Linked DNA regions of Oryzias latipes. The protein of the gene in region 2 binds, or shares a complex with, the protein of the main gene of each other region. Links are inferred from orthologs where the notes say so. Each region holds a gene or a part of one and is shown on either strand. Other genes may lie near its edges.

What was found.
Region 1: the proteins of adat3 (region 2) and adat2 are in contact, whole or in part, in a crystal structure (PDB 9HMM), measured with the Mus musculus proteins. The link is inferred for Oryzias latipes from reciprocal best matches to the Homo sapiens genes ADAT3 and ADAT2. Residues at the interface, in NP_001094076.1 of Mus musculus: Val217, Ala218, Pro220, Leu221, His223, Ile229, Asp230, Ala233, Gln236, Gly237, Glu270, Ser272, Pro274, Val276, Val290, Met291, Met294, Ala295, His298, Ala299, Pro311, Asp312, Leu318, Phe319, Val321, Arg324, Asp326, Leu327, Asn328, Pro349; in NP_080024.3 of Mus musculus: Val62, Asn63, Lys66, Asn67, Ala68, Thr69, His71, Met74, Ile77, Leu81, His85, Pro91, Cys107, Ile108, Met109, Ala112, Ala113, Leu116, Met117, Arg130, Phe131, Val137, Leu138, Ile140, Asp144, Leu145, Pro146, Asn147, Thr148.

What each region holds. Positions count from the first base shown.
Region 1 is NC_019882.2:23,450,131-23,465,888, reverse strand, and holds adat2 (tRNA-specific adenosine deaminase 2), read right to left. Parts: upstream 7,975-15,758; 5' UTR 7,883-7,974; coding exon 7,766-7,882; intron 7,452-7,765; coding exon 7,347-7,451; intron 7,248-7,346; coding exon 7,097-7,247; intron 6,962-7,096; coding exon 6,855-6,961; intron 6,354-6,854; coding exon 6,281-6,353; intron 4,714-6,280; coding exon 4,670-4,713; 3' UTR 4,581-4,669; downstream 1-4,580. UniProt on the Homo sapiens protein: Probably participates in deamination of adenosine-34 to inosine in many tRNAs.
Region 2 is NC_019879.2:16,548,523-16,564,430, forward strand, and holds adat3 (probable inactive tRNA-specific adenosine deaminase-like protein 3), read right to left. Parts: upstream 5,403-15,908; 5' UTR 5,304-5,402; coding exon 5,292-5,303; intron 3,080-5,291; coding exon 1,997-3,079; 3' UTR 1,923-1,996; downstream 1-1,922. Other genes in the region: ormdl1 (ORM1-like protein 1), read left to right, coding at 528-679, 831-966; osgepl1 (probable tRNA N6-adenosine threonylcarbamoyltransferase, mitochondrial), read left to right, coding at 5,798-6,003, 6,072-6,459, 6,542-6,746, 6,834-6,982, 7,777-7,907, 8,013-8,084, 8,168-8,252; peptidyl-prolyl cis-trans isomerase FKBP7, read right to left, coding at 15,428-15,589.

The DNA.
Region 1 (15,758 bases), on a different chromosome or scaffold from region 2:
GTGTATGGCTGCACCAGGTCTTTTATGTAGACTGGTGCTTGGTCATTAAGAGCTCTGTATGTTAAGACCAGGATTTTAAAATGCACTCTGTAGTGAATGGGGAGCCAGTGCAGCTGCATTAACAACGGGGTGATGTGTGAGAACTTGGATGACTTGGTTAAAAGCCTAGCAGCAGCGTTCTGGACAACCTGGAGCCGTTCTAGAGATTTTTTACTTAAACATGTGAAGATGGAGTTGCAATAATCAAGACGGGAGGATATAAAACTGTGAATGAGCATCTCCATCTCAGAACGCGACACAATTGGACTCAGTTTTGCAATGTTTTTAAGATGATAAAAGCAAGAGCGAACAAGTGACCCGACATGAGAGTTCAGGGATAAAACCGGGTCTAAAGTTACACCTAGGTTCCTGACAGAGGACTTGATAAAAGAAGCAAGTGGACCGAGCTCATGGATTATCTGGGGGAGACAACTGTCAGGAGCACAAACTAGGACCTCAGTTTTGGGTTCATTGAGTTGGAGAAAGTATTTATTCATCCAGCTCTTAACTGAATCCAGACACTTTTGTAAACTCTGTATTTTAAAAACATCCTGGGGTTTAAAAGACACATAAAGCTGAATATCGTCAGCATAAAAGTGATAAGACATGTCGTTAAAAGAACTTAAAATATGCTGTAAAGGCAGCAGATATAAAATAAACAATAAAGGTCCCAAAACTGAGCCTTGGGGCACACCAGAAGTGAGCGGAACAGAGGAGGACTTAAACTTGGAGAAAACAACAGAGAAAGATCTGCCAGTCAAATATGAGGAGAGCCAGTTTAAGGCTGATCCGGAGACCCCAACCCAGTTTTTCAGCCTGTCCAAAAGGATGTAATGGTCCACAGTGTCAAAGGCTGCGGTCAGGTCCAACAACAGTAACACAGAGCATTTTCCTGCATCACTCTGCATCAGGATGTCATTAGTGACTCTGAGAAGGGCTGTTTCAGTGGAGTGAGCTCTGCGAAAACCTGACTGAAATTGATCGAATATCCCATGACTGTCGAGAGCAGCTGTAAGTTGTTTGGCAACAACCTTTTCTAAAATTTTAGACATGAAAGGAAGGTTAGAAATAGGTCTAAAACTGCTCAAGAGGGAGGGGTCAAGCCCAGGTTTTTTAAGGAGAGGAAGAACAACAGCTTCCTTAAAGTGCTCAGGGACTTGACCAGACAGCAGAGACGAGTTCATTATTGACACGACACAGGGACCAATGGACTGGAAGACATCTTTGAGCAGAGAAGTTGGCAACGTGTCGAGGGAGCAAGAGGATGACTTCATTGTCCCAACTAATCTGACTAGCTCAGGGAGGGAAACAGGTGAGAATGTGTCTAAAATCACAGGACGAGGCGGACTAGGAATAGAGCCAGAGCCAGGACCAGCTGTGTGACACAGAGAGCTTCTCACAGATCTGACCTTTTCAATAAAAAATGATAAAAACTTTTCACAATCATCATTTGAATGGATGGGAACAGCAGGTGAACTGGGCATAACAATATCACTCATAGTGTTGAACAGCACTTTAGGATTACCTCTGCTTTTGGAAATGAGATTAGTGAAATATGCAGCCCTCGCATCTCTAACAGCATTGTTAAAAGAGACTAAAAGATCCTTAAGATGAAGGAGATGAACATCTAGGTGAGTTTTTTTCCATAAACGTTCAACTTTTCTACATTATTGTTTCAGACGGCGAATACTGTTGTTAATCCAAGGGGAAACCTTAGTGACAGGAGCCAGTCTAGTTTTAACAGGACAGACTTCATCCAAGATGGAAAGACAATAACGGTTAAAGTTACATAATAAAGTATTAACATCGGTACACGGAGAAAGAACCAGGTTAAAAGCATTAGAAAAGACCTCAGCTGTGGAGGAGTTAAGGATGCGAGAGCTGACTTCTCTGCGTACAGGCAAGAGCGACACAGAAAAAGATAAATAAAAAAAAAATGCAATGATGGTCAGAAATAAAAATGTCCTCAGAAAAGATAAAATCAACATGCACACCCAAGGTAAAAACAAGATCGAGTGTACCACCTTAAACATGTGTGGATCCAGACACATGCTGAATAAAGTTAAAAGAGTCCATTAGGCTAATAAAACCTCTGGCAAATAGGTCAGAGTCATCATTAATGTGCATGTTAAAATCACCAACTATCAGGTTAGACAGCTTCATAGTGGAAGAAAGAAAGTCTCTGAACTCCTGTAAAAACACACCATTTGATCCAGGTGGACGGTAGACAACGGCACAGAAAAGAGGGTACTTATTCCTGACTTTGAAAATGCAAAAGTGCATCATACAGACAAACATGCAGCAGGCGTACAGCAAACTTTCAAAAGTCGTATGAGGGGTTTTTCCAGGCTCATCCTTCAGTGTAGGTTCTGCAGGGCTTCAGGTCATCTCTCTCTCTCTCTCACTCTCTCCGCCCCCCTGCAAACCTACAGAGCTTCATCCTTCCGTCTCTGTAGCTGCAGTCGGTGTTTCTGCTGGGCTGTGTGTAAACCCAGAACAAGAGTGGAGTGAGTTTTTCAGGCTTTATCCCATGTTAGGAAACGTGGAGATTTCAGCATCTTCATGTTTGAACTTTGAAACAGTCCAGCAGCTCTCCTTCAATCCATATGATTAGTTCTCAGTGATCTACTGGAGCAAATTCCTTCAGATGACCCACTCCCCTCATGACCGCAACAGTGAGAAGACAGACCACAGAGAATAGACATGTATTTGAAACAAATGTCTTTGAAACAGATTCAAAATACCCAAAGGTAGTATAGAAAACATTAAGTTCAAAATAGTATCAGTCAATAATGAGCTGAAAGTTGTGCCTTGAGCCTGTTTATAAACTCTGCAGCATCAGGCTCACTCACTGACCCAAGGCATTACAGTGGAGGAAGAGGCTTCATGATGGGTTTGAATTAGACTCTGGGAGCAGCTAGAAGGCTGGAGATCCTGAGGGTCAATATGGGACAGCTCCTGAATGAATGGACTTCTGGCAAATTCAGTTCAGGAAAGTCCACTGGTCCCCTTCATTGAGGGATGGGCTTCTTCAGTGGCTGCCCATCACACATCGGATTACGTACAAAATACTTCCCCTGAATTTGAAATCTATCCACAACCTTGACCCTCCATACCCGTCAAACCTTTTTCATGTTGCAATACCCAGCCGTGACCCCCACCCCCAAAACACTCTTCCTTTTTCAACTTCCACCACTTGATCCTCTGCTCTGGCCTTGTCCTCTTCATCATCCTCACCACAGTCATCCTCACACCATCTGCTGTCTGGCTATACTCTCCCAAGACATCACTTTCCAATCACTGATCTGTTTTAGAATCCGTCTGCTCAAGATGTAATCAGGTGTGTGCTGAGGAAAAACTTTAGAACAGTCAGTCAAAAGTAATTTCCAGGTTTTTAAGCTCATTTAACGATTAAAGACCAACTCCAAAAAAATTGTGTTTTTAAGATGTTTATGTAGCATTTTCCTGTGATAGAGGACATATTTAAGATTGAAACTGCGTTTCTGAGTATTTCTTTATTCAAAGTGTGAAGAATCAGGAGGAGTTAACAACCCGTGGTTTGAAAAAGCTCAGCTTTGTGACGCAGCAGCTGCCATGGGAGGTTTAAAGTCTCCCTGCTCCGCTCCAATTCTGAATCCTCCACTTAAAAACAATCACAGTAGATCCATTAAAGTCTTCCTATTTGTCTTCTGAACTGCCCTCTGGCTCAAAACTCCAAAATTGCTCGCATTTTTTATTTTTGCTACACTAATATTAGCTTGGGGTTGTGAGAGGCTGTAAGCTAGCAGGCGAGATCGTGAACAAAGGAATGCTGGGATATCACTGTAGGGTTACTTCCAAACCTACAGTCCCGCCCACAACCCAGAGGCGAATTTCTAATGAGCTCCTGCTGCGCTTCAGAAAATATGTCTTGAAAAACAAATTAGGTTTTTTGATTTTTGCTAAAAACGGCATAATCCTAATTAAGAGCACTGGGAACACTTTTACAATGGATACTAATATAGTTGAATTGGAACGTTCTGCTGGTTTTTTGGTTTTGGCTTTAGGACTAATTTTTAAACTGCCAGGGTCTTTAACATTTATTAAAAGCTTTTAACCAGATACTTCCAATTACGTTTTACAAATGGGTGAAATGTGTCCCTGATTTATGAGGGAGAGAACTGTATTATCTGCAAAAAGAGGAGCACTCCTGTTGTGAGATGTCTACTTACAAAATGCACTCAACGTTTTAGTCAACATGCTCCACTTATAGACTTGAACTATTACAATTGAACAAGAGCTTCTGTCATTTTTGAAGTTGATTTAAAACTTAACTGCAGCCAGATAAGTTCAACAGGTAACTTCTGGAGGGCTGTAAGTACGTCTTCATTTCCCCTCAGTGTAAATCGAACCCTGGAACAGGATAACATCCAGTACAAGTCAGTCTTTGTGATTCATCTTTTACTTTGTCTTTGAGACCAGATGTACTGCTCCTGCATGACATCAAAGAAACTCGGAGAGCTCACGTGGTTGTATTTAAAACAAATCTTCACAACTGATAGAAAGCTTCCAAACATCACAAATGTATTTTTATTTAACAAAACATTTATTTATTTTTGTATTTTTAATATAAACAACTAATCCAGCTGCATCACACCTGTAGAGCTGCATCTGTCCTTGTTTTGGGTTTGGGAGCTGAAAGACAGAAAGAAGATGAGCAACATACTGTCCATTCCTGTGCAGCATCAAAACCATCTCCTGTACACTGTATTACCAAAAGTATTCTCTCCCCCATCCAAATGATCAGAATCAGGTATCCTGATCACCTGGCCACAGGTGTATCAAATCAGCACTCAGTCATGCTCTGTTTTTACAAAGATTAGTAAAGAATGAGGCGCTCTCAGCAGCTCAGTGAATTCCAGCGTGGAATAGGGCTGGGCGATAAAACGATAAATAATTGTAACACAAAAGAACTTTACACTAAACTTATTTTGAAAGGTCAGAAATGAACACTCGTCTGTTGCGAGCATTTTCTCCTCTTTGGGCAGAAAAAGTTAGGTTAGTCACCACAAGGCGAGTAAACGTTTGTGTAAACTCAGTCATATTCATTTACTCTCCTTCAGGGGGGTATTCCAGAAAACAGGTAATGCTAGGATGATTAGACCACATATGGATGTTGGAAAGATGAACTTTTTTACTTTGATCTAACTTAATTATTTGCTTCAGTTGAGATAAATCAATTATTTTTAATTAAGCCAGTTTAAAAATAACATGTAGTTATCAGACAGTTATTATACTTTTATTCAAATTAATTCAATTAAGTAGGTGTAACTTTGGTGCTGCTGTTAGATCGGCAACGCAAAGGATTGTGGGATACCATTCCCTTTGCCTGTCTGGACGGATTTGGGTTTAAGTGTGGGTTTTTGACCAAATGTGTTTAGTTGCTTAGCTGTTTTACTGTGTATTGTCTAGTTATTTGTCCTGTTATGTTTAATTCTTTCTGCACCATGAGTGAGAGGGAGGAAGAGGATGATGAGTTTATTTAGCAGCTCTACTGGTTATTGGAGTAATGACAAATTCAGAGAAATGGTATTGTTACAAATTGGAAAGCTGTCTAGTTTCATTTATTTTATAGTGATAAAAATGAAAATATCTGCAGGCTCAAATTTAGACATGAGTTCAAGAATTACAATAAATTAAGATGAAAAACTTTAATAGAATTGGACTAAAATTACATTTATTTAGATAAATATGTAAATTTGAGTTGAAAAAAAATATTTTATATATTTGGTGTTGCCCATGTTGGTAGATAGCCTTCTGACTGATTGTGGGGGGGCACAGGTGCCTTTATGCAAGCTAACCACCTCAAACAGGTGCCACTCATTTAGAATCATGAGCAGAGTGGAGTTGGACTATTTCAAAGCAGAACAGCAGGTCTTTGCTGGTCAGAAATCTATCTGATAATCAAGTGATCAAATACTTTTTGACCTCACTGTGAGGTCAAAAAGTATTTGATCACCCTGTGATTTAGAAAGTTCTCCCACTTAGAAAACATGGAGGGGTCTAAAATTTCCATCATAGGTGCATTTCCACAGAGAGAGACAGAATCTGAAGAAACATTCAGAAAACATGTTGTATGCTTTTTTTTAAACAATTTATTTGTACCCAAGTGATCAAATACTTATTTGTCACAGTAATATACAAATAAATTGTTTAAAAGGCTTGAAAAACAGACTGAACAATTTTGAAAATTATATCCCACCGTTTGGGTTCTGCTGTTTGTAGAAAGTTTTCAGAATCTCCACAGCTTCATCTGCTCTGTGGCCTGAAATACACTAAACACAAAAACACAAGCTGACACAAAAACATCTCCACATCAGGGCTGCACGACATGAGGAAAACTCAAGATATGCCATATTAGTCATCAATATTGCGATGACGATATAACTTGCGGTATATGAACAAGTAGCAAAACAACCAAAAACCTAATTTCCATTTCACTGAAACAGTATACGGTAGTTTAAATAAGAGTTAACCCTAGTCTACATAGGAGGCCAACATCTAACAAAAGAGCTCCATCCGATTGGTCTATAATATGAAGGCGTGCATCTGGTTGGTCAAATGCATAAATGGATTTATTTGATTTGTTAAATACTTCCAACTACCATAAGATTTTTAGTGATCTTATGGCAGCTTGCAGGTAACAATTTATTGCAATTTTTGGCATCTTTTGCGATATGCGTATTGCACAGCGTGATATTGCGATAACGATAAATTTGGGATGTATTGTGCAGGCCTACTCCACATAAACACATTCATCAGGAGTGAATGCTGACCTTAAATGTGGTCCCAGTCTGCAGCAGGTCGGCAGAGGAAATGTCCAGAACAGAGCCACAGCCTCCAAACCGCTCATTCCAGCAGCCATACACGACCAAAGCCATGTCTGACAATCGGCTCAGAAATGACACTTCAAACTGAGGTTACATCCACGTCAGACAAGAATGCTCCTTAGGAGAAATGCATGTCCCCTAAGGACCACAAGGCCGAGAGGAGAGCCACACAGGAGCAGACAGGATACTGAGCAGGCGCAGGGCTGCAGCACACATGATGCATGGTTCCACCGTGACGTACAGGACTGTGTGCTCACACACGCTTCTCAAATCCAGGTTGCTATTGCGACACCAGTCCAGAAGCTCATCCAGAGCGACCAACTCAGCGTGACGAGTGGCCTGAAAAACCAGAGAACCGTGAGAAGCTGCTCATACTAATGCCGCATCAGAACAAAACCTCGAGTTAAAATCCTGTTTACACTTTAGAATTATTCCTACATTCTTAGTCTTGTTAACTTCATTCCTTCCTTTCCCAATTGCTTGATCTTTGTAGACCATCAGACATCCGACAGCCACTTCTCCATTCTGCAGAGCTTCTCTGGCCTGCAGAAACCTCAGTGACTTACTCAGGCGTGTGTGCACATCTGGGGTAGAAGGACTGACATTTTCAGACAGCATGTTGTCCTCAAATAAATACATCTACTTTCATATAACTTGACTCAAGAAAAAAAGTGTTTCATAAAGAAATGCACCAATGAGAGTTAAAAGTAACGTCTTTAAATGTCGTTTTTTTACCTATGCACTTATTAGCGCAATAATGGTAAAGCACTGTTGGGTCTTTCGCCTACAGAAAAGCTGGTCATTACGTTCTAAGGAATAAATTAACACACAAACCCGCTGTAACGTGGACCACTCACCATTTCAAACGCGCGAGACATCCATCTCTCGATCTCCTGATCGTTCGGACCGAACTTCTCCATCGAGCCGAACTTCTCCATCGAGCCGAACTTCTCCATCGAGCCGAACTTCTCCATCGAGCCGTGCTGTTTCGGGTTGTTTTCCACTTTTTTGTCACACTATGGACACCATCACACCGGAAACGAACAGGGGAAGAAAATATTGAACGGACCGACCCTCCGTGTTTCCGATTACGTGTTTTCATTGTTTGTGTGTGTGTGCGCGCGCGCGTGTGTGTTTTTTAAAATTGAAATATAATCATTACAAACTATCGCAGACAAAACCACACAATGATGCAAGACACAGCTCTCAAATAAAAAAGTAACAAACAAACACGTATAAATAAAATATAGAAATCTTTCAGCATAAATTAAATTTCAAGGCAATCATAACCTGGAGCATAGATCAGTAATGATCCTGTAGAAGTGTTACAAATGTCATCAATAAAAGGATTTAAGCTCTGAATGTGTGAAGGAATTTGTTTTATTATTATCATTGTTTAAATGTATTTCTTTAAATGTTAACTCAGATTGACCTTTTTACCTCTTCTAAAAACAGTTCTGTGTGTTTGGTCATCTGCTTCTCATGCCCAGCCAGGAACAGGGGGGTTTTACGACACACTGTCCTCAGCTGATAAGTGATACTGTTTAAACTTAGAATCCAACCAAAGGGGTCATTGTACGACACCCCCTAATGAACTTTTTGTCTTTGTCTTGAATTGTTACCTCCCACTTGTGTTCTTAATAAAAGCAGCACAGGGAGGGGCAGACCTTTGAGAAGAGAAACGTGGTGGACCTTTTCCAACACATTTGCTCCTCTCCCTCGTGCATGAGAAACTTGATTCTTGTTGTGGTTTGTTGTTTATAATTGTGTTTTTCTTTAATGTCTAGATGCATTTATCTGACATTCTTTGGTCCATTCGAGCCGGATGACAACATATCTGCGTCCTTGGGGGAGGACCATGCCGATTGAAGTCTGTGCACAGCCCGTGAGACTAGGTCTCCGGAGGAAAGTCCGTCGTAGTGAATTCTACGCCGGCCAATCGACTGGTCTGATCCCTGGGTCCGGATTGACGTTATTCGTTAACCAGTCAGACCACAACGACAAGGCAAGTACAGCGCTTTTTCAGGGGTTCGAGTCCCCGAAGTGGCCCAGAATTCTGAGGGACAGGTTCAAGTCCTGTTGCCTAAAACACGTGTGGGTTTGGAGTCCCGGAAAAGTCCAGAATTCTAAATAAAGGTGTAGGTTCGAGTCCTGCAGCCTAAAACGCGTAAGAGGGTTCAAGTCCCTAAAAGGCCTAGAATAACAACAAAAATAAAATAAAAAAAGTTTTTTTTTGGTGTGAATGTATGTGCATGTGTGAAAGGAGTGAACTTGTTCGAAGCAGTGAGCAGCTGGAAACCTTGCGGTGTTAACACAAGGCTGCTTGTTGGGGTAGAACAAGATTTCATCTCATAAGGCTTTAGGTGAAAAGAACCCAGAGTCTAAAACGGGTTTTGCTCCTGGGAGGACCCTAAACGTGTGACCGGATCAGACAATAGGTCTGACCTAGAAGCTTGTTGCACGGGGAGTGAAATTCGGTCCTGAGAGAAATTCTCTGTTGGTTCTGATCACACTCTGTGACTAACGTAAATAAAAAAAAAATTGGAAAAATTAAAAAATGGGGGAATTCAAATAAAAAAGTTGAATTGACATGAGATTAAAAATATATGGAAAGAGGTTCATCCAGGTTCAACTACAATTTTAAGGGGAATGTACTGAATTAGTTCAAAGGTTACAAATTAAAAACAGAATTAAAAACTAAAAAAGAAACAAAAAAATGGTGAAGAATTAATTTGTGCAAAACTGTGCTTAAATGAAGCAACGAAAAATAAAGAATGGCATTCAGAAAAGTAAAACTAGAGAAGCATGTCTGATTCCTAAAAAAGAAGAGGATAAATCAGTTGTGAGACTCAGACCCCTGCAACAGCAGGCTGCAGCAGGCTGCAGACCGAGCAGGAGCAGGATGAAAGGGGGGGAGAGCAGAAACCAGCTGATTTCTCACCTCCTCCCTACCAGGGGACAAATGCTCCTCTGTTGACGGGTTTTTACCCACCAGTGACTGATTTAAATAAACCAGAAAAAGGAAAAATAATGTTAGGAGGAAAAGGGAAAAAAAACTTGAATGGAGTAAAACTATGGGGGTTGGTTTGGAAGAAGCTGGAGAGTCATCTGAACCCAATGATTGAAGTGTCCAATCCTAGAGCTGGAGAAGATGGCCAGAGGCCTACACTTCTTTTGCTTAGCACCTGGACATTAGAGGATGTACGGAAGGCAGTGAGGGGAGTTATCTCTCACGGGCAAATGATGGAAGTTCAGAGAGCTTACCATCTGAATGGCATTGAATGTCAGCAAGCATGTATGACTGCTATGAAAGCAGACTGGGCAAAAGTAAAGGAATCCTATGAATGATGACAATCCACCCAGACCTCTTCCGCATAACAGTCTAAGAGTTAATTCAAAGTCTTACACTTTTAGGACAAAGAATTAGAGAAGCCTTTCCAATGAGACCTGATTATGGAAAGATTGGTCAAACTAAACAAAAAGATGGAGAGTTAGTGTCTGATTTTAGAGTCAGATTTGAAGAAGTTTTAAAGCTAATTGTGGACTCAGAGATAATGATGATGGTCCCTATAGACAGCAGCTGAAACAAGTTTTACTGCAAGCTATGAGACCAGAGATTGCAGACTAGATAAGGACACTTTACATAGATCTACCAACAGGAGCACTACAACAGTTTGTGAATTTTGCTGTTCATGCAGAAAAAATTGATGGTGAATAGAAAGAAATTTAGGAATCAAAGTGTAGATACATTTTGGCAGGAAGAAAGTAGTGATGTGTTTTTTGGAAGGAATGTGAACAGAGGGAGAAATTGTGGTCGTGGAAAAGGAAATTTTAAAGAAAATTTTAGAAGAAGGTCTAGAGGAAGTAGCAACAGAGGGTCAGAGCAGGTTGATGATGGATGTTGGATTTGTGGACAGAGAGATCATTGGGAGAGAGATTGTCCTGAAAGGAAGAAATCAGATTGACTAGATGGTAGAAGTAATGTCAAGATTAACAATGAATCTGAACCAGAAATTCAACGAATTTGTGATGAATTTTTAGATCTCACTGAAGTTTGTCTTATGGAAAAGCCAGAAATAACTCTTTATGTTCAGGGACAATCGTTTGTTTTTCTTTGTGATTCAGGGGCTTGTAGAACTGTGATAAGAAGTTATTACAATGATTTTCCTAAGTCAAATAAAACAATACAAATGAGATCTGCAGATGGTCAAATTGAAACTAAACATTAGAGTAAACCAGTTTGTTTTGAAAATCCTGACACTAATGAAACAACAAGCATTCCTGTGGTTTTAGCACCAAACTGTCCTTTTAATCTTTTAGGGAGAGATGTCATGATAAGATTAAAGTTAGGAATTTACCCCACCAGAGAAGGGGGGATGCAAGCACGACGTTGCCCCGATACAGACATCTGTGTGCTAGAAGGCAGAGGTGAACCACACTATTATTGGATTTTAGATCTACCTAAAACTGATCTTGGACAGACTGCAAAAAACTTAATGGAGAAAGCAAAAGCCAGAGTGTCACCCCATGCAGATTTTATGTCTTCAGACATTCTGTATGTCATGTTAAGATGCAAAAAGTCTCCTGGTCCTGACAGGAGATATGACGAAGCAGTGAGTAAACTAGGATTTCAAAAATGTACAATAAATGATTTTTATTGGAAAGATGAAACTAGTTTCTGTACTGTGACAGTTACACCAGAAGCAAAAAACTTAATGTGTACAGAAAGAGTGACAAGTTGGAAACAAATGGCAGATGCAGTTCCATTTATTTCTTGTTCTAAAGGTTCACGAGAAAAATGGGAAGAAATGAAAGAACATGTGCAGGAAGTGACCTATACTTTGGACTGGCAGACTGATCCGGAAACTGGAATTTCTACCAATCCTGAAACTTAGTTTAAAAGGATTGCATTAAACTGGGTAGTGATTACACAGGCTAATGTGCATCTGACTGACAGAAGTAGCTGAGTGAAAATTATGTTGACAGAGGAAGAGGAAGATTCTCTTAAAGACCTTCCACAGTCACTTTGGACTAAAGAGCCAGCAGATGTAGGGTTAATTACAGGATGCCCACCAGTGGTCATTAGATGGAAGAACAGAGGGTTTAAAACATCAACAGGAAAACCAGTAACACATGTAGACTTACTGAAAGAATTATTAACTGCTGTAATGTTACCATCTAAAGTGGCAATATGTAAATGTGAGGGACACACACAAAAAAAAACAGATCATATTTCTAAAGGAAATGCCTTTGCAGATGCAACAGCAAAGCAAGCTGCAACAAAAGATGTAGAAATATGCACAAATGAGGATGTGACTGCAGATGCAACCACTGATGTTTTAAAGGAAATGCAACACAGTGCACCGAAACAAGAAAAAGATTTATGGTTGAAAAAGGAGCAAAGTTGAACAAGGTCTTTATGTCAGCACAGAAGGGAAACCTATTTTACCAAAATCCATGTACAAATGGGCAGCAATTTTGAGTCATGGGCTTTGCCATGTCTCAACAGGGGGGAGGATGAACTTATTAGAGAAATATTAAACAACTTGTGGATTTATGCTCTATAAACTCTATAAAAAAATTTTTTTGTAAACAATGTGTTACATGTATGCATCATAATCCCCAAGGCAATGTTAGACCTAAGAGAGGAAAATTTCCTGAACCACCTTTTCCTTTCCATACAATCCATATGGATTTTATTGAATTGAATAAAAGTAAAGGATTGAAATATTGTTTAGTGATTATTGATGCATTTTCCAAATGGGTTGAAATTTTTCCATGTGCAACACAAGATGCTATTACAGTAGCTAAAGCTATTTGTAAAAGAATAATCCCAACTTTTGGCATACCACAAGTGATAAGAAGTGATAATGGTACAGATTTTGTAAATCAAGTGATAGACAAAATGGCTCAACATCTTTGTATTGATTTAAAGAGACATTGTAGTTATCACCCACAGAGTGCAGGATTAGTTAAGAGAACTAATGGCACTATCAAATCAAAGTTAAAGAAATGCATGGAAGAGACAAACAGACAGTGGCCTGACTGCATAGACTTAGTTCAGCTAAGCATGCGTATCACACGCACAGCAGGTCAACCTTTAACGCCTTTTGAAATGTTGTATGGACGTTCTTATAGGTTACCAGACATTGATCCTACACAGCAACATTCTCCAGATGATGATGCAAATTTAGTGGATTATTTGAGAAAAATGTTTACCACTAAAGATGTACAAAGGACAAATCAAGTGCCAGATTCCTTCTTATCTCCACAGGACACTTCACCAGTGCAGGTTGGTGACTGGGTGTTTGTGGAGGCCATAAAAAGGAAGTGTTGGTCCAGCCCACGGGGGGAAGGGCCATTCCAAGTCCTGCTGACTACACCAACAGCTGTAAAGATTGCTGAAAGGACGTCTTGGATCCACCTGTCACACTGCAAGAAAAAGCATCTGGGTGAGGCTAATTCCAACTGCTAGGTGGGGAAGTCTGACTACAAAGGGAGGCAGCTGTATAGAAGCTGCTTGTCTCAACGTCAGCGAAGCCGAGACATCCACCTAGTCTTAGGGAAGAAAGCACACCAGAACTCTTTTGCACTACACGGATCCTACACTGTTAGAGGACTTGAGGAGGTGATGTGCTAGTAACCTCTCCCTCCCGAAGATAGGTACATATCCACCATGGCGTGTCCAACTGGGCTAAGAGACAGTTTATTTTGTTTACTGTTCCTGCTATTCCTGACAGGAGCCACCACATGGATTTGGTTCTTTTGGAATCATTATCCACCCGCAAGAAGAACCACCAGTGAGGAAAGAAACATTTCTCGACGATGGCTGAGTATTGATGAACATGATGTTTTGAATAGTCCAAAAATGAACATAACTCACCTGTATATGACAAATTCTTGGTATAGGTATGTTATGTTACTGACTGACTAAAGAATAGATCGGATTGCTATGTTTGTTCTGTAATTGAAGCTTCATCCCTACATCCTAATTTGCAGGCAAAGCAATTTTCTGAGTGGAAAAGCGACTGTGTTATTGAATATAGTACCAGAGGGTATATTAGTACTGGAGCCGTCACCACTTCAAATGGAACTCTTGTAAGACCGAGTTGTAAGAGTTTGTATCAGTTTAAAAAACTGAAATTGACAAAATCATTAGCTCCATATGCTAGTGTGGAACCAGGAACTGTGTTTCCACATTGCGTAACTAACAATGGCACAGAGTTTTTAGGAACTTTGCCGACGAAGATGTGTCATGAACTTCTTGTTCCCTTCACAGTCCAGATAATCAATGACAGAGTTTCCCATGGTTATGCAGTTCCCTGCCCCAGAGGACGTTGTGTTGGATCTAATCCAGATTTAATTCCAGGTAACAATGGTACTTATGTGGTTGATCAAATGTTTTGGTTATGTGGGCAGGCCCTCTACCTCAGTCTGCCTAGAGACTGGAGTGGGATTTGTGCTCCCGTAAAGGTCACAGATCACACTTTCATAGTTTCTGCAGTCCATGAGCCTCACCTGCGCCACAGACGTAACCTTATTGATGTCAAGCCACATGATTCCATTTGGGGATCAGATGTACCTGGAGACCATAAACTCTGGAATACGGGGCAAAAGGTAACTATGGCATTGTTTCCCTGAGTGGGAAATGCTAAAAACGCTCTCAGAATTGAGACCATTGATTATTGATTAGGTTTATTTTTGAACGCTGAATTAAAGCATTTAAAGTCTATAATGAAGAAATGTCAAGCATGAGACTTAAGGTTCTACAGAACAGATTGGTTTTGGACTTATTGGTTGCTCAGGAGGGATGTGTTTGTAAAATATTAAATGATACCTGTTGTACATTTATTCCTGACAACACAGATGAAGGTCACAGCATCACTGAAGCATTACATCAACTTGAATAGGTTCAACAGGCAATGCAGGATGACAGGAAACCCCAATCTTGGGATTTCTTCTCCTGGTTTGCTTTTGGTTCCTGGTAGCAACTTTGTTAAAAATAGTGACACCTATTCTTATGGTACTGATCATATGTTGTGTGTTCACTATGTGCATTTTTCCTTGTATTCAATCTATGATTTCCAGAGCAGTGAATGGTGGAGTACAAAGTGTTCTTCTGAGTCAAGAATACAACTTGTTATTAAAGGGAGAACAAGATGACTGTAATGATTTTGAAATTGAAATGACTTGAAAAAAAAAAAAAAAAAAAAAAAAACGTCTCATCTGAGTGTAAATTGATAGTGTTATGAAAATGAAGATGTCACAGAAAACTGAAAAGGGATGTGATATTGGATGTGTGATTTTGACATTTATCAATGATAAATAGGAGGGAGTATGTGAAGGAATTTGTTTTATTATTATCATTGTTTAAATGTATTTCTTTAAATGTTAACTCAGATTGACCTTTTTACCTCTTCTAAAAACAGTTCTGTGTGTTTGGTCATCTGCTTCTCATGCCCAGCCAGGAACAGGGGGGTTTTACGACACACTGTCCTCAGCTGATAAGTGATACTGTTTAAACTTAGAATCCAACCAAAGGGGTCATTGTACGACACCCCCTAATGAACTTTTTGTCTTTGTCTTGAATTGTTACCTCCCACTTGTGTTCTTAATAAAAGCAGCACAGGGAGGGGCAGACCTTTGAGAAGAGAAACGTGGTGGACCTTTTCCAACACATTTGCTCCTCTCCCTCGTGCATGAGAAACTTGATTCTTGTTGTGGTTTGTTGTTTATAATTGTGTTTTTCTTTAATGTCTAGATGCATTTATCTGACAGAATGCATTTCAATGGGTATAAATACAGTCTGATTTCATTTTTAAAACAGAAATTTTTGCCGATCTTTTTACC
Region 2 (15,908 bases):
CATTTGTCACACATCTGGTTTTAAAATGAGACATTCACTCACTACTGTAAGTGTGGTTTACTGCGATTGTGTGTCACTACCAATATGTTGGGGTGTTATCAGCAAGAGCGAAGGTCAAGGATAGTCAAACACCCTCCATCACAGTCTAGTAATAGATCAATCATATAAACTTTATTCCATTTGCAATCTAGAATTTCAATCTGGTTTGAAATACATGAATTGCACTTGTTGTATTTTAACATGATTTCTCATATTTTGAGTTTGATAGTAAACCCTAGTTTATCTTTTTAGGTCTTGCATGTGTTATTAATTTAAGACTACACCAGGGTGGAACTGTTTCTGTGCAAAGAAACAAAAGCCGATGAAATGTATCATTCAAAATTCTCTTTGCATATAAGTGTCAAACTTCTGCTTTGTACTGTAAAAATGTGTTGTTAGAAAGCAGCAACATAAATAATAACCGACTCATTTAAGCAGTCTATGAATAATATTTACTCGTGTTTGTATTTCAACTGTTGTCTTTCCAGGGAATGTATGTCTTTATGCATGCTGTGAAAGGTACACCTTTTGAGACTCCTGACCAAGGGAAAGCCAGGCTTCTAACTCATTGGGAGCAGCTTGATTATGGTGTGCAGTTCACCTCATCTAGAAAGTTTTTCACCATTTCACCAATCATTCTGTGAGTATTGAGATCCCATCATGACTGTATGCAAGATTGGAAATGTTCTGGAGTCAATTTAAAACGATATTAGCATTTTTCTCACGACTGTTTTATATATTTAAGCAATTTGTTTTTCAACTGATCTGTCTTTTTTCTATTCCCTCCCTAGATACTTCCTTGCAAGTTTCTACACAAAGTACGACACAACGCACTTTGTAATCAACACTGCCTCACTTTTAAGTGTCTTGATCCCGAAGCTGCCACAGCTGCACGGAGTGAGAATTTTTGGCATCAATAAGTATTAACGTATTTTAAGTGCTGCGCCTCTCAGCAGTAGAAGCTCATTCCTGTCATCTGTACCGCTGATTACTCTGTAAGGACAGCCAGATACTTCAGGGTTAAAGAAAACACAGGAGTACTTTGTATTTGACAGAATGCCAGAAGCATTACTAACTTATGTGAATATTTAATGAAGTTTTTTTTTTTTTTGGCCTGCCTAGACCTGGGCTGGCCTAGGTCTTGGTGAGGACTTTAGTTTAATTTCTTTTCCTCTATCATTTGTTCACACAGTGACACAAAATTGTGAATTGTAGTCACTCGGATGTTCCAATGTATTTTTCAAAGATGTTTACTTTGTAACGGTATGAGCCTGTGGCTCATTAGGTAATGGGTGCCAAATGTTTAGCTCAGTCAGGAATATTATCATCCTCCTTATTGGCATGATTCTTTTGACAAGTGAAACATTTATTTGCAACTGTGTGGAAAGTTGTTTCGGTTTTTGTGGATTTATGTCTTGTGTGTAGAAGAAAACAGTGTGACGTTAATTGTTTACTTAGGGGTGGTCTGCAGTGTCTACATGTTAATCTTAGGCCTGTTGATGCCCTTGCTAGATTAAGACTTTTTGCTATAACCAAGGCAGCTAGCTCTGCTTTGAGTAGCCATTTAGGCCACAGTGGTATTTCTTGTTAATCTTATTAAAAATTGTGACCTCTGAGGTTCTGTTTCATTCCTGCTCATTTTATTCTTCATTTCTAAGTTATGAATGCAGAGTTTATATCAAAGGGGGAAAAAATGGAAATGTTTCAAATGTATTTAAATATTTTTAAAGAAAACAGCAGATAAGTTCTGATTACATTTCTAGTGTTTACAGATAGATGATTGAATGTGTGCTTTTAAAAATATGAAAATGGAAGGGTAATGTTTACCTTAATGCTCAAAAAACAGTTGGTATAAGAAATAACACTGCCATGACATTCACCCCTAACTTCACAAAAAAGGTTTTATTTAATTTGTTATCTAAAACAAGACTTTTTTAAGGCACATCGAACAAATCCTTTACTCTTTACATGTAACCTGTTTTTCCTTGAGATCTTCTATGTGATCATCTGAACTGATGAGTTCTCCGCATTGTTTACTCAAGATCCCCTTGTAGACTTCAAAGTGATGGTTCAAATCTCTCTGCGTGTGGATTTTAAATCGGGTCCCGAGTGCACCGTCAACTGAGGTGGTCCCGTAGAAAACTCGACCAATCCGCGAGTGGACCAGCGCCATGGCGCACATGACACAAGGTTCTCTGGTAACATAAAGGTCATACCCCGTACAGATGTAAGGTTCAGCTGCCCCTTCCGACTGATTTGACATTTCTTGATTTTTGGCAGCTTTTGGGAAACTGAACTGGCATGCAGTGTAACGGTCAAAGCAGTAGTTTCCGCCACCCTGACTCCTAGCCACGAGGTCAATGCAGACCATGACAGCGTGGTGTAAGGGGTGGTCCCGTCTGCAGTCATGGCCGACTGCTATGATGCGGTCTACTTCAGGGTCAACCACGACCGCCCCAACAGCCTCCATCCCCAACTCTTTAGCGGCTTGTGCAGCGGTTAGAGCAGATGTCATGTATGTGTGCATTTTGGCTTTTTCTTTGGTACTGAAGAGCTCACCTCTCAGAGCTACAGTTACATGTTTGTTTTCGTGAAACGCCGTGGACCAATGTTGGCTCGCCAGTTCAAACTGAGGTCGGGTCAACGGCGGACGAGCAGGAATTTTAACCACAAAAGGCTCGCCCAGGCCTTCCCATTTAGCTCCCCTTGAGGGTAGCAGAGAGTCTTTGCTGACTGCCTTTATATCTGGAGCTTCACTGACGAGACACAGAAGGACTTCCAGAGGGTTTTGGCTGCCCTTGTCTTTGCAAGCCCGTACCCTCTTGAGGTGCTGAAGGCCATTCAACGGGTAGAGGCTATTCAGCTCCGCGATGATTCGGGAGGTCTCTTTCTTGTTGGTGATGGGTGCAGCGAAAGCTTCTATCAGCTCGATGTCTTGCGACTGCAAGTCGGACAGTACAGGAAGAGCATCCCAGGAGTCAGTGTCCCTCCCTGACCCTTTCCAGCGCTTCGTCTGTGGCTCCATTATTTGGGTGTCCTCCTGTCAGTACATTTGCAGGACAGAGCATATGGTCAGAAACACTTTTAGTTGTTGGAAAGACATAAACCATTTTTATTCAAGAAAAAAAAAAAACTTTTTAATCACACCTATGAGTTTTTTTTTTCCTTTTTCAAGTTTGAAACAAAGTCAGTTACGACTCATAAAAATAAATCACTTCAGGAAATTGAATCTCCTCTGTACGAACTGTCAAACAGAGAATACAGTTTTTATTTGTTTAAAATGAAAATGCAATTGCAAAGTAAAAATAAAAGTTCATGTTTTCCCTGCAAAATGAACCACTCCTGTTACAATATAGATATTTATTTTAAAAAAAGGACAAAAACTGGTCACATTTGCCATGTTTGGACGTTTCATTTTATTCATTTATGTTGTCAGGTTTTATTAAACAATAATCTCTAAAACAACAGAATAAAAGTACAAGTTTACAAAGTCAATTTTTAAGATAACATTGTTGCGACATAGCAGGTAACCAAACATTCAAATACTGACTGCTGTTACACATTAATGATCCAAACATGTCAACACTGCCAATAGATTCTATGGAAAGATCTAAAGTTCTTTTAGTAGATTTGCCGTCTTTCATAAAAGTAAGCATTTTGTACCAAAAAATTTAATGTTTATATTTTGCTAATTATATTACTATTACAATATTTTGATTTATAACAAATATTTTCTATGACTATTAAATAGCCCTGATATAAAAAAATTAAAAAGAAAATAGATTTCTATGTTTTCACTCCGAGAACTTCCTATTGGCGATTATTCAACCTCTGAAAAATGTGAAATCACTTTCATAATTTACATTGTTAAGCATGTTGAATTTTGGAATGAGCTGATTTCAACCCTTAAGACATATCTCAATGAAACACTGTAAAAAAATCTACTTAACAACAATTTATTTTAGTTTAAAACACACATTAAGTGTAGATTAAACAGCTATAAACACTTCAAGCTACATCCACCATCAGAGCATTCCCAATTCAAAATGAAAATTCAGTTGGAAATAAAGTAGTAAACTGTTTGATGTGGTTTTGTTTATTTTCTTCCCAGCATGAGCTTCATTTTCATGACTTTGGGGACGTGTCTTATAGTGAGGGACACTCTGGTGCCTCGAGTTAATGTCTCCCCAGGCAGGGCGCCGGTAAAAGACAGGTTCACCACCTGCTCTGTCAGCAAGTCATGAGTCTGTCCTTGAATGCCGTGAAGAAGGTGCTGGTACATTTCATCTTGTAGGATTAGGAGGCTACGCGGCATCACCAGCAGAGAAAGCAGGTAGCGGTTGTCTTCGGTCTGTGGAGCTTCTCCCTCCATGCAGCTGACAGGTTTGTAGAAGTCCAGGAGAGTGTGGGAGCCCAGGCTGATGGTTGTGACAGTGGGGTGGTACAGGGGGCCGTCTTCGTGTGGCATAATGCCTTCCCCTTGTTTGTACTCATTGACCAGCACATGATTTGCCGTTTTCCCACCAAATGCGTCTAATGAAGATATTTTTTCACAAAAAGCCTGGAGCCAGTCAGGGATCTTCTCTGGGACCATGCCTCTGGGATGAGGTAACCCTCCCCAGTTCTGGAGCCTTCTACCAGAAAGTTGGGTCCACTTTGTTTTTGGAGCTTTGTAGACCTGTTGTAGAAGATAGGACTCCTCGTCTTCTGATATGAAATCTGGGATGTAATAGACGGTTTGAGGTGCATCCTTTACAACAAAACGCTTTAACTCCTCCAAATTACAAGTAGAAGATTCCATGCCTCCTTCAGGGAAATTCAAATAAAACCCTGATTAAAATTCAAATAACTACTTTTCTAAAATAATAATAATAATAATAACACAGGGAAAGAGGCTAATTTGGGGGAGCAAAATGAAAGTTAATGGAATAACATGTCATACACTGTATGTTCTTAGGTTTAATCAAAGCGGTTCAATACCAAACAGGAAAATCGTCCAAATGACTGTTATATCAATTAGAAAAATCAACAAACACGAAAATTGAAACTTTTTTTAGAGTTACTAACAAATTGTAAAGTACAAGTACAGGACGTTGGAATATACGACATTTCCGCTGATCGTGAAGACAACACAGCTTTTCACACAGAAAATCCTCATAAACTTCCGTTGATGAGGATTCTAGCACTAATTATAAACACAATTTGATTGTTTAGTTATTGTCTATGAGCAGGAATAACAGTATTAAGCCTACCTCTGTATGCATGAATTTGTTCGATAAAAAGAAAACCCGCCTGGTGGTCAAACAACCTGGCAAATGCACTCCATGGGCAAAAAACTATGCGCTACTGTTAAAAGTGTCCGTGCGGGAACGTGTTTACATTTTTTTAAGCACATTCAATTTTTTAAGCCACTTTCCGAATATGTATAGCTTAACAATATGATTAAAATATTTGTTCTTTCCTTCTTAAAATTATTAATTATATCATTCCATTTGATTAAAGTCGCTGTCTACTCGCCGTGATGTGTCGATTCACTGACATAGCCGGACATAAATACATGTAACACAGCAAATGAGTTGAGCTCGTGTTCGCTCCTTTAAAAACAATTATGCTCAAATGTCTTTTACAAATGGAAGTGATTTTAATCTTTCTCTCATTTTTTACGTTATTATTTTTATCTCATGATGATTGAATTCCTCTAGCGCTTGCATCTGATGCCTTCAATATTTGACGTGGAATCTTTGAATTAAAAGTAATAATGTTGCCTGCTAAAGTGAAAAACCTGTGGAGGCTGCTTCATTGTAGACGCGTAATGGACTTCACGTCTCTGACTAGAAAGGCATACCACTCCAGACTTGTTTTAGGCATTGAGACGAGCTGTGATGATACTGGGGCTGCTGTACTGGACGAAACTGGTACAATCCTGGGAGAGTCTCTTTACTCACAAAATGAGGTTCATCTGAGGTGAGGAACATGAAAAGAACTTAAAAAACAAATATTTTTATTTTGACAAATATATTCCCCTTTTGCAGGACTGGTGGTATTATTCCCACTGTTGCACAGCAACTCCACAGAGAGAGCATAGAGGTTGTGGTCCATGAAGCCCTGGAGAGGAGTGGAGTGACCCCAAGCCAACTGTCAGCTGTGGCCACAACAGTAAAGCCAGGCTTGGCCCTGAGCTTGGGCATTGGTCTTGCGTTCAGTCAGAAGTTTGTAAGGAAGCACAACATACTGTTCATTCCCATTCACCACATGGAGGCCCATGCCCTGACTATCAGAATGCTCCAGCCCGTGCCCTTTCCTTTCCTGGTTCTGCTTGTTTCTGGTGGTCACTCGCTTCTTGCTGTTGCACGAGGAATTGACGACTTCCTGCTGTTGGGTTACATGTTGGATGAAGCTCCAGGGGACACACTGGATAAAGTAGATTCATTGCTTTTGACACATTTTTATAGTATTGTAAATATAAGTCAAGCACTTCAAAATCTGTCTTGCAAATTCACAGGTGGCAAGACGCCTCTCCCTCACAAAACATCCAGATTGCTCCACGTTAAGTGGAGGACAAGCGATTGAGCTTTTAGCAAGAAGTGGTGACAGGAGGAAATTCCCTTTCAGGACACCGATGGGGCGGATTTATGACTGCTGCTTTTCTTTTGCTGGACTACGAAGTCAAATCACAATGTCCATCATAAAAAAAGAGGCTGAAGAAGGTATTTGAGAAAAGTTGAACACAGTTTTACTGAATACTTATTATACTCAATTTACATGGGATGCTTACAGTCAATCTTTTATTGTAGGAATAGAACAAGGTACACTTTTGTCTTGCGTAAATGACATTGCAGCTGGCACACAACACACAGTTGCTGTTCATCTTGCAAAACGGACTCATCGTGCCATCTTGTTCTGTAAGGAAAATGGCCTTCTGCCATCTGATAATCCTATTTTGGTAAGTACAAATTACAACATTTTATGAAAATATAATTTACATGTAGTCATGTGTGTATAAGTCAACATGTACAATGTTACCCAGTAAAAGAGCTAAAATCCGATATCTTTAAGGTTCAAAAGATTGTTAGTCGATGTTGGCTGTATCAAAACAGTATTAATTTCTCTGTTGAAAGAATGTGCTAAGACTTGTTATATGGATATAACCCTTTTTAAAAGACAGATGTTTTTGTTTACTCCTTTGGTTATACAGTTTTTTTTGTGCACTGGGTGCATGCCCCTATTTGCTGTCAAATTTTAAATCACCATCTCTTCAAATCCCTGAAATAAATTCACTATAACATTGCCAAATCAAACTGGTTTGTTCCAGATGCGAAATAAAGAATTTGGACACCACAGTTTACCATGTTGGTTATTTTCAAAATGCAGAGCCTTAATTCACAAACAACTTTAGGTCCTTCTTGGGTTTTAGAGGAGGAAAATAACTAGGACTGGTAGTTTTCAGAAACTTTTTTTTAATGATGCCATTTATCTCCGTACAATGAATGGGCTTTGAGATATCACGATGTTTAAGACACAACAGGGGAGTGGATATCATTTTGTTTCCAAAGCATGACTTGGATTATCTTTCTTGTTTAATAGAAAAGTAACTGCAGTATACTTTTTTGATCAAAGTTCTGGGTCAATAGGTACCAGAATGTTTTCATTTTTTTGTGACTGATAAAAATGTTTTCTTATAGCAAAAAGTAAGCTCTTCCCTAGTGTGCACTTGTTTGAATAATTACTCTTTTCTAGGTGGTGTCTGGAGGAGTTGCAAGCAATCAGTACATCTGTAAGGCACTGACGGTTATCACTGAAAAGACAGGACTTCGTCTGCTCTGTCCTCCACCCAGATTCTGCACTGACAATGGCGTGATGATCGCGTGGTGTGTGCATATCAGCTTTGAAGAATCATCAAGTGTAATTAAATTGTAGGTGCTTAATTGAACTTGGGGTTTAAATGATAAAAAAAAAACTTTTGTCCCAATCAGGAATGGTATTGAGCGTCTAAAAGAGGGGAGAGGAATTCTGTCTCCAAGTGAGGATGTCTGTTATGAGCCAAAGTGAGTCAATTTAAAAGACAGTGGTTACGTTTTTGTTTTTTTCTATGAACTGATTAAAGTGTTCTCACAATGTTGTGTTTCAGAGCACCACTAGGTGTCGACATCTCAGCAAAAGTGAGAGCAGCAGGGATACGGTTACCACCAGTCAGGATGAAGATCCTTAGCTGACAGACACAACCCTATCATAACTAATTACCCCTGTGTTTATTTGTAATTTTAAAATTTCAACGTGAGTATTTTTGTCAAAGAAAATGAAGAAATAATTGAGTTATGCTTATTAAAGTTGCTAACAGAACAATAAATGATTCTTGTTTATATACAGAAGTAATTTGTCTTAATTTTATTTCTACTACAATTGTACATGAAACTCTTTTCATAGGAAGATGTCTTTTTCTCCCTGTTATTTGTTAGTATCAAAACTACATTATCAGTTTTCTGGTTGTGCACAGATACATCAAGAAGAAAATGTGGGAGTGAACTCTGTCCACTCTGCAGATTTAATGTATTCATGTTATTTTGCTCCTAGAAATTAGGTAAATACTTCCCTCTAACGGTAAGTTTGAGTAAGTGCATCAAAATAATTTAAAGCTGTTATGACCTTCCAGCTGAAAATGTTACCCCATGACCTTCAGATTACATGACTCAGAAGGTCAAATCCTTGAAGATGGTGTCCAGAAGGGCAGCTGTTGGTCCATAGGGAGAAAAAGCTTTTTTAAAGTTTTGGGGGATTCACCTTACATCAGCTTAATTAAACACATTGAAGATATCAAAAAGTGCATCAAAACCCAACAGCTTTGAAAAGTAGCTGGCAGCACAAAAAAAGGAAAAACACTTGAACAACCCAATTGTAGGATAGTTATTTGTCCTTTTAACAAAGGACCTTTTGGTAGTTTCACCAAAATCCTGTTTAACCTCTTGAGACCCAAGCTCTTGTTTGATATGCCTTTTATATTTTGTAGTCACCCCAGGGCCCAGGTAATCAGAGTTAACTACACTGGTAATAAAACCCACAATGTGATGTCCTCAGATCTGGACGGCAGGTCTCAAGAAGTCAAATAAAAAAAAAGACAATTTGAAATATTAAAGAATGTTTGGTTAACTTAGAACTTTGACAGGGTGGACACACTAGCAAAGGTCTTCTGTTGCTAAGAGACCGTGTCTGTTGTATGACTTACCAGTTCACCAGTTGACACACTACATCGGTTCAGCTTTACTGAAGGCTTTAGAGACTGATCCAAAGAGAGGAAAAACGGTGCAACAATGTCCATCAATCACAATGAGCCGACAGAGCAGACCTGCCCGGAAATCTCAGAGCAACAGGTGAGTTAACCTGAAAATGTCTATGGCTGCTTCCACATTAGCACATTGACAGGGAAAACTTTTAAGAGATTTGTTTTGTTCACTCAAATATTTACTAGACCGTTTTTAGATCTTAATGTAGATTATTAGTTCTGAGTAACTTATTTCTGGATAAAGTAAGCCAAGAGATAGCCATATGTTACCATGATTAGCATTTTCAATCTACTTATCCAAATAATTTGAAAATGTTTTGTTCAAACATTTAAAACCAGGTATACAGATACAATTTTATGTATAAAATCTAAATAACTTTTTGTTCCTTTTAAATCATCTTCTTCTTGTTAAAGACAGTAAATAAATAAGGTTTGGTCCTTCACAAACTGAGTTTTGTAAAATGTTCTGAGATGAGCTAAAAACCTGCCTGTTGGAGCAGAATTTTAATGAAACACTGGCACCTCTTGTTATTTACAGGTTAACACAGATCAGACTGAATTAAGATCCTGTGGAATAAACCATGTGGAGGGCGGATGGCCCAAAGAAATTGATCTTCAAAATTTGGAACACACCAGTCGTTTTAGAAAGAGGAAGGAAAGAGAAGACAGCTACATAAACAGTATCACTCAACTGGGCAGTGTAAGATTTTTGTATATACTCCTCATTTAATTGTGTTTCTTAAATCTGTCAATATATTAATGTCTTTCCAAATTTTTCTACAGTTTTGAAACCTGAACTAACATCACACACTTTATATTATGTTATTCAGATCACAGAGCACAGCTTTAGGCAGAATAATGCCGTAGAAATCTATGAGAAATACTTTGAGGATGAGGAAGATATGAATGAAAGTCATGAGCCACCTCTTACCAAAACCATGACTGTGTTCAGGTATGACTGACAGCAGATCATCAGCACACCGATTGCTTGTAATGACTAATCACAGTCTGCTCTTTTGGTTCCTGCAGTGATCCTACCCATTTGCAGCGTGCTGCGAGAGGTTTGTCTTGGAGTACTTCTGAACCTATGAAATTTGCTGCTGCTTTTGCTTCTAACAAGTTCCCACTGTTGTCCGAAATGTGCAAAGACTCCTATGTCTGGGACATTGGTGGGTCAAACCTCTGGCTTATTGAAACCAATTCACAATCCGTTTTGCTCAGTGGTGGATGCTTTATCTTTCAGAAAAATCCAGTTCACCACTGATGGTGCTAAAACCATCGTCCTCACTTCTCTGTCTGGAGTACAACCCAAATGACCCCGCCTGTCTTGTGGGAGGCTGCTACAATGGGAGAATTGGTGGGTTCAGGGATAGACTGATGAGGTTTGTAATGAAACCATTTCAGCTGCAAGTTTATTTGTTTTAGTTTACTGGGATACTCGGGAAAGCTGTTGGCCTGTGGGTTCTTCTCCTGAGGATCACAGTCACAAAGATCCAGTCAGCAAAGTGAGCTGGCTTCAACTCAAGGGCAAAAAAGAGGCAATCTCCACTTCCACTGATGGACAGGTCAATTCTTGACAAACCAATTTTGACTGACAACGTGTTATTCTGGAAAACTGTTGAAGGACTTTCTTACTAAAGCAATAAACCTCAACTCTTTCAGGTTTTGTGGTGGGACATCCGGAAGATGAGTGAGCCCACAGAGCGTTTGATTCTGGACCTGGGTGGGGAGAGGACCTGCCCCGTAGGAGCAATTTCTCTCGGGCTAAACCACATCATGGTGAGGGTGTGACCTTTACAGTGCAGACACTGGTAAAGTGTTGCTTTTCTGCTGCTATTTTTTTTTTTTTTTTGCTATATCTCCAGCCTGAACGCAGTTTTGTTCATTCTGTTTCCTAAGAACACAAAGATCATGTTGGGGACACAGCATGGCTTGGTCATCTCGTGTGACAAGAACGGAAAGACTCCAGCAGAAAAGATTGTTAGTATTTACAAAACCAACAAAGGACCTGTGTATGCTGTGCAGAAGAACCCCTTCTTTCCCGGGAACTTCCTGACTGCAGGGGACAAGCATGCTTGCCTCTGGTCTGACATCATTACCAGGTCCCCAATCATGGCATTCAGGTAGGATTCTGACCCACAGCTTTAGCTGAGGACAATAACCTTGAGTTTCAAATAAATCCGTGTAAATTGATAGCTATTGTTGAGATGAGTGTGATGGATGCCATTTGTGGAAAACTGAAAAAATTACCTGAAAAAGAGCGGCACACCAACAAAAGCAAAAGTCAAATATTTGTATCCACCAACACCATCATCTCCTCCACAGCATCTTATTCATTTGAAAATAAGATCCATCCTATTTTCTTGTCTAATTCACATGTAAATTGTCTTTTCTATTTCCCTTCTATCATCTGGTTATTTTTTGTTGACATCAGAGGCTAACGCTAATAGCTGTGTCTCTCCATCTTGCTTGCCATTACTTTTGTTTTGCGGTAAACAGAGCAGCAAGTAAAGAAGAACAGCCCAGAGCAAAAAGCTATGCTACACTTATTCAGATGTTTGCAAAAAAAGAAATAAATCAAGACAGAGACTTCTCTGTCCAATCACAGGACGTGTTCATATCACGCTTAATGTAAAGCATAGACATATGGATTAAAGCCTTCCTGCTAGCTCAAAGTCATCTAGATCTGATGAATTAATGCAAACGCTTGCCTTGCTGTTTTGTGAAATCAAAAGGCCATGTCATGGCCAGATTGCATAGAACCTAACATCACAAATAAGCTGGAATATGATTGGATAAAAACTATTATTATGTACAATACCTTCAGCTACTGAACCAACTGGATATCATATAGCACGAAGAATGCAGAAAAAGCAGAAAAAAATGTGTTTTAATGTAAATACTTTTTTGTTTAATGTTAAGTAACTGTAACTAATGTTAAGAAAAACAAAGGATGAAATGTGCTTTACTTCATTTGATGTTGGATTTCAGGAATGGAATGCAAAACTTAACCGGTGCTTGCTGGAGTCCATTCAGACCCTCCGTCTTTTTTACTCTAAATATGGATGGCGTGCTGGACATCTGGGACATCTTGTTCAAACAGACTAGCTCCGCACTGAGTGTCAAGGTCTGATCCCAGCTGCAAAGTCAAAAAAGTCTGATGGGTCCAATGACTTTGAATCCCTACTGATACGCTGGCATGAATATTCATTTTAATAGTGCTGTGTTGCTGTCCTCAGGTGTGTAACAGTGTTCTGTGCAGCATTTCTGTTCCTGATAAGGGGCCTCTGATGACTTGTGGCTCTACTAACGGGGAAGTGATGCTGTTGAAGGTTTGGCCTGGACTGTTGACCCCACGAAACAATGAGATCAGTTTAGTCACTGCTGTAAGAACACATTCTGACTCAAAATATATGCATGATGTGATAAAACTTAACTAAGATAAAAACAAAAACAAGTTTTATATTAGTTTTTTGAGCTAATATTTGACATAACCCTCTGCATACATAGTCAAAGGACCCCATTTAAGGAGAATTAAGTTCTGTGGTAATATAACCTGAAATGTGATGCCCATGCATGTGGACACCAGATCTTAAGAGGTTAAAATAAAACACGAACCTTTTTAATTTTTTTTAATTTTACAGTGCAGTTCATCCTTTACTTGTAATTTTAGAGGTAAATTAGGATGATGTGGAGTTTAGCCTACAAACTCTGTGCACTGATTTAGACAATGTTGTCTTTGTCTGCAGCTGATTGAAAACGGAGAAAAACAGCAAGGTCCTTTGAGTCAAATAGAAAAACCTTCTGAGGAAGAGGATGAAGAGGAGGATCCCAACGAGCTCATCGCTCAAGCTGAAAGAGATTTTTATTCAATGGCATAGATGGTGACGAAAGAAAAGGAAGGATCTGCTCCAGGTGAGATGGAAGGCTCTTATATCTTAGCAAACTGTTGTGACCTCTAAATAATGTGAGTTTATGATTTTGGCTTTTTTCCTCAGAAAAAAAATCAAAAATGGCAACAAAAATATAAGGAAATTACCAGATGCTAGCAACAACTGGAAAATGGACTTTGGCATGTTTGCAGGTTATTTATTTACATTGCTTGCACACTGTAGCTACATAAAAATAAATTAAACTAGTTTCTGTATTCTCTTCACTTCTGTCTGATACCTGTGTAGAAATTGGGGTTGGTGCTGTTGAGTTTTTTTGTTCAGACCTTGAGCCATCAACAAAGAGGTTTTTTAGTTTTAGGGCAAGTAAAGTAAGTAGAAAGAAAGAATTCTAAAAACTGCAGTGTAGTTATTTAAAAAAATATATTGTTTGTGAGAAAATCAGTCGCAGAAGATTTTATAGGCTTATTTAACCCTAGAGCACTATTGGCGGGTGATTTTTACCCGAGCAAAACTGTTTACATGAATTTTAATATGCCGCGTGTCAAGGAGTCTGTGCTTTCACCAGGGAAGTCTCACATGTCCCAGGAATGGGTGGACCAGAGACCAACTTTCTAGTATCATTTTATTATGTTTTAGGTTTTTTTTTGTTTTAAATTCCTAATTTTTCAGTAATTTTTTAGGGTGTTTATGGGAACTTCCTATGTTTTTCTTTTTCATTTTGTCACACATATAGTATCACAGTTGAAAATAAAAGAAAACCACTCTAATTGAAATTGAAAATATTTTATGGCAAGAACTTTTTGGTTTTTCTCAACATTAGTTACAGTTACTATATTGGGTAAAAATTATTCGGCAAAAGTGATGGTGTAACTTCTTTCAGCGACGTTTAAGAGCTAAATTAAAATAAAATGCTTTTAGACTCTAGCTTATTTTGAATGATTCAGAAATATAGCAAGAAGATGGTAATTTGAACTTAAAATTAAAGTATTAAATGCAGATAATCATATGTTTCTCCTTTAAAATGCATTTTATCTTTCTTTAACTTTTTATTTTAAATAATGTGATTTTACAGTAATAGAAGCAATTCCTTTGATCCCTTATTGAAACTATATCTTACATCATATTTGCATTTCAACATTTTAAAGTTTAATTTGTCGGTTACAGTAATCCCTTTTCAAAATCCAAAACACAGACTTTTCACTTGAAAGATCCTCATGAATCCTCCAAAAACCTAAAAATTAGTCTTAAAGAAAGAACTATATTTAGTTTTTCAGCAAATGTGAGAAAGATGGACCTGCCCTTTGTTTGTTCTGGCAAATTTATTTCTAGCACACAGTAGGGCTGCTTGATATTAGGAAACCTTGCGATTTGCGACATTAGTGATCAATATTGCTATGACGATATAACTTGTGATCCATGAACAAATAACAAAACACCTAAAAAAAATCATTTCCATTTTACTGAAACAGTTTAATTTAAATAAGACTCAACACAACTTACATTACACTCCAAATGACCCTAGTCTACATAGGAGGCGAGCATCTAACATAAAAGGGCTCCATCATGTCAACAACATGAAGGGGTCTATCTGATTGATGAACAATGTCAAGGGCAACATTCGATTAGTCAAATGCATGAGGGGAAAGGAAAGTTTATTTGATTCGTTAAATACTTTAAGCTGCCAACAGAGGTGATGAGGAGGTGATGGGCAGGTTTGGTGTGAAGGAAAGGAATCTGGAGGGACAGATGGTGGTGCCATAAGATTGTTTTTGCACATTTAAGGTTACCATTTATTGCAATTTTCGCAAACTTTTGCAATATGCATATTGGATCGCTTGATATCACGATAAAAATACATTTGCGGTTTATTGTGCAGGCCTAGCACACAGTCATGTTGGACTATCGCAACTCAGCACATCATTTTAATACTTCAAATAATTACACTAAATGGATGTCTATGAATAAAAATAGCCACAATAGACCATTTCTTACAGAAAAATGCACACTTTATTTTTAAATCTACTAAACCTTTTATTTATTTTTTTAATTACAGTTTTCCTCTTGTAGAGAGATTGTGGACTTCCACAGACTTTTATAGTAAAGGAGATGTTCAAACATTAGTTTGGAAAACACAGAAAACCAATTTTCCCTAAGTGATGACTGAGATAGACTCAAAGTGGTTTGTAAAAACACATGGAAGGAACTCTGTGAAATGACACTAAAGTTCATCATGTTCATATATATTATACTCCTTGGAGCTGATCAGCCCATCTCTGTCTCTGTCACTCTTGCGAAATATATCAGCAATGATCTTCTCATAGAAGGGGTCGTCCCGCGGCTTCCCACCTTTTTCATACTCCAGCTTCAAATATTCTTTGACCTGAAACCAAAACAAAAACCATACCATTATACTTAATGATTAAGGAAATACAGACAGTTACTTCATTCATGTTAAAACCCAAACAGAAAATATTTTAACTAATAAAGGACCAACATTATTTATGTTTTACTGTTCATATCAATCCCCATCATGCTGATCACAGACTTTTCTACTAATAGGCCTGCAAAATCTTGGTGTGACGGAGAGGCATGGAGACACCCTTTTAGGTTTACAGAGAGGAGATTTTTATCACAGCCTCCTTGTGCAAACAATGGATGCGTGTGCGTCTGGGATCATTGAATGTACTTTCAATATGAAG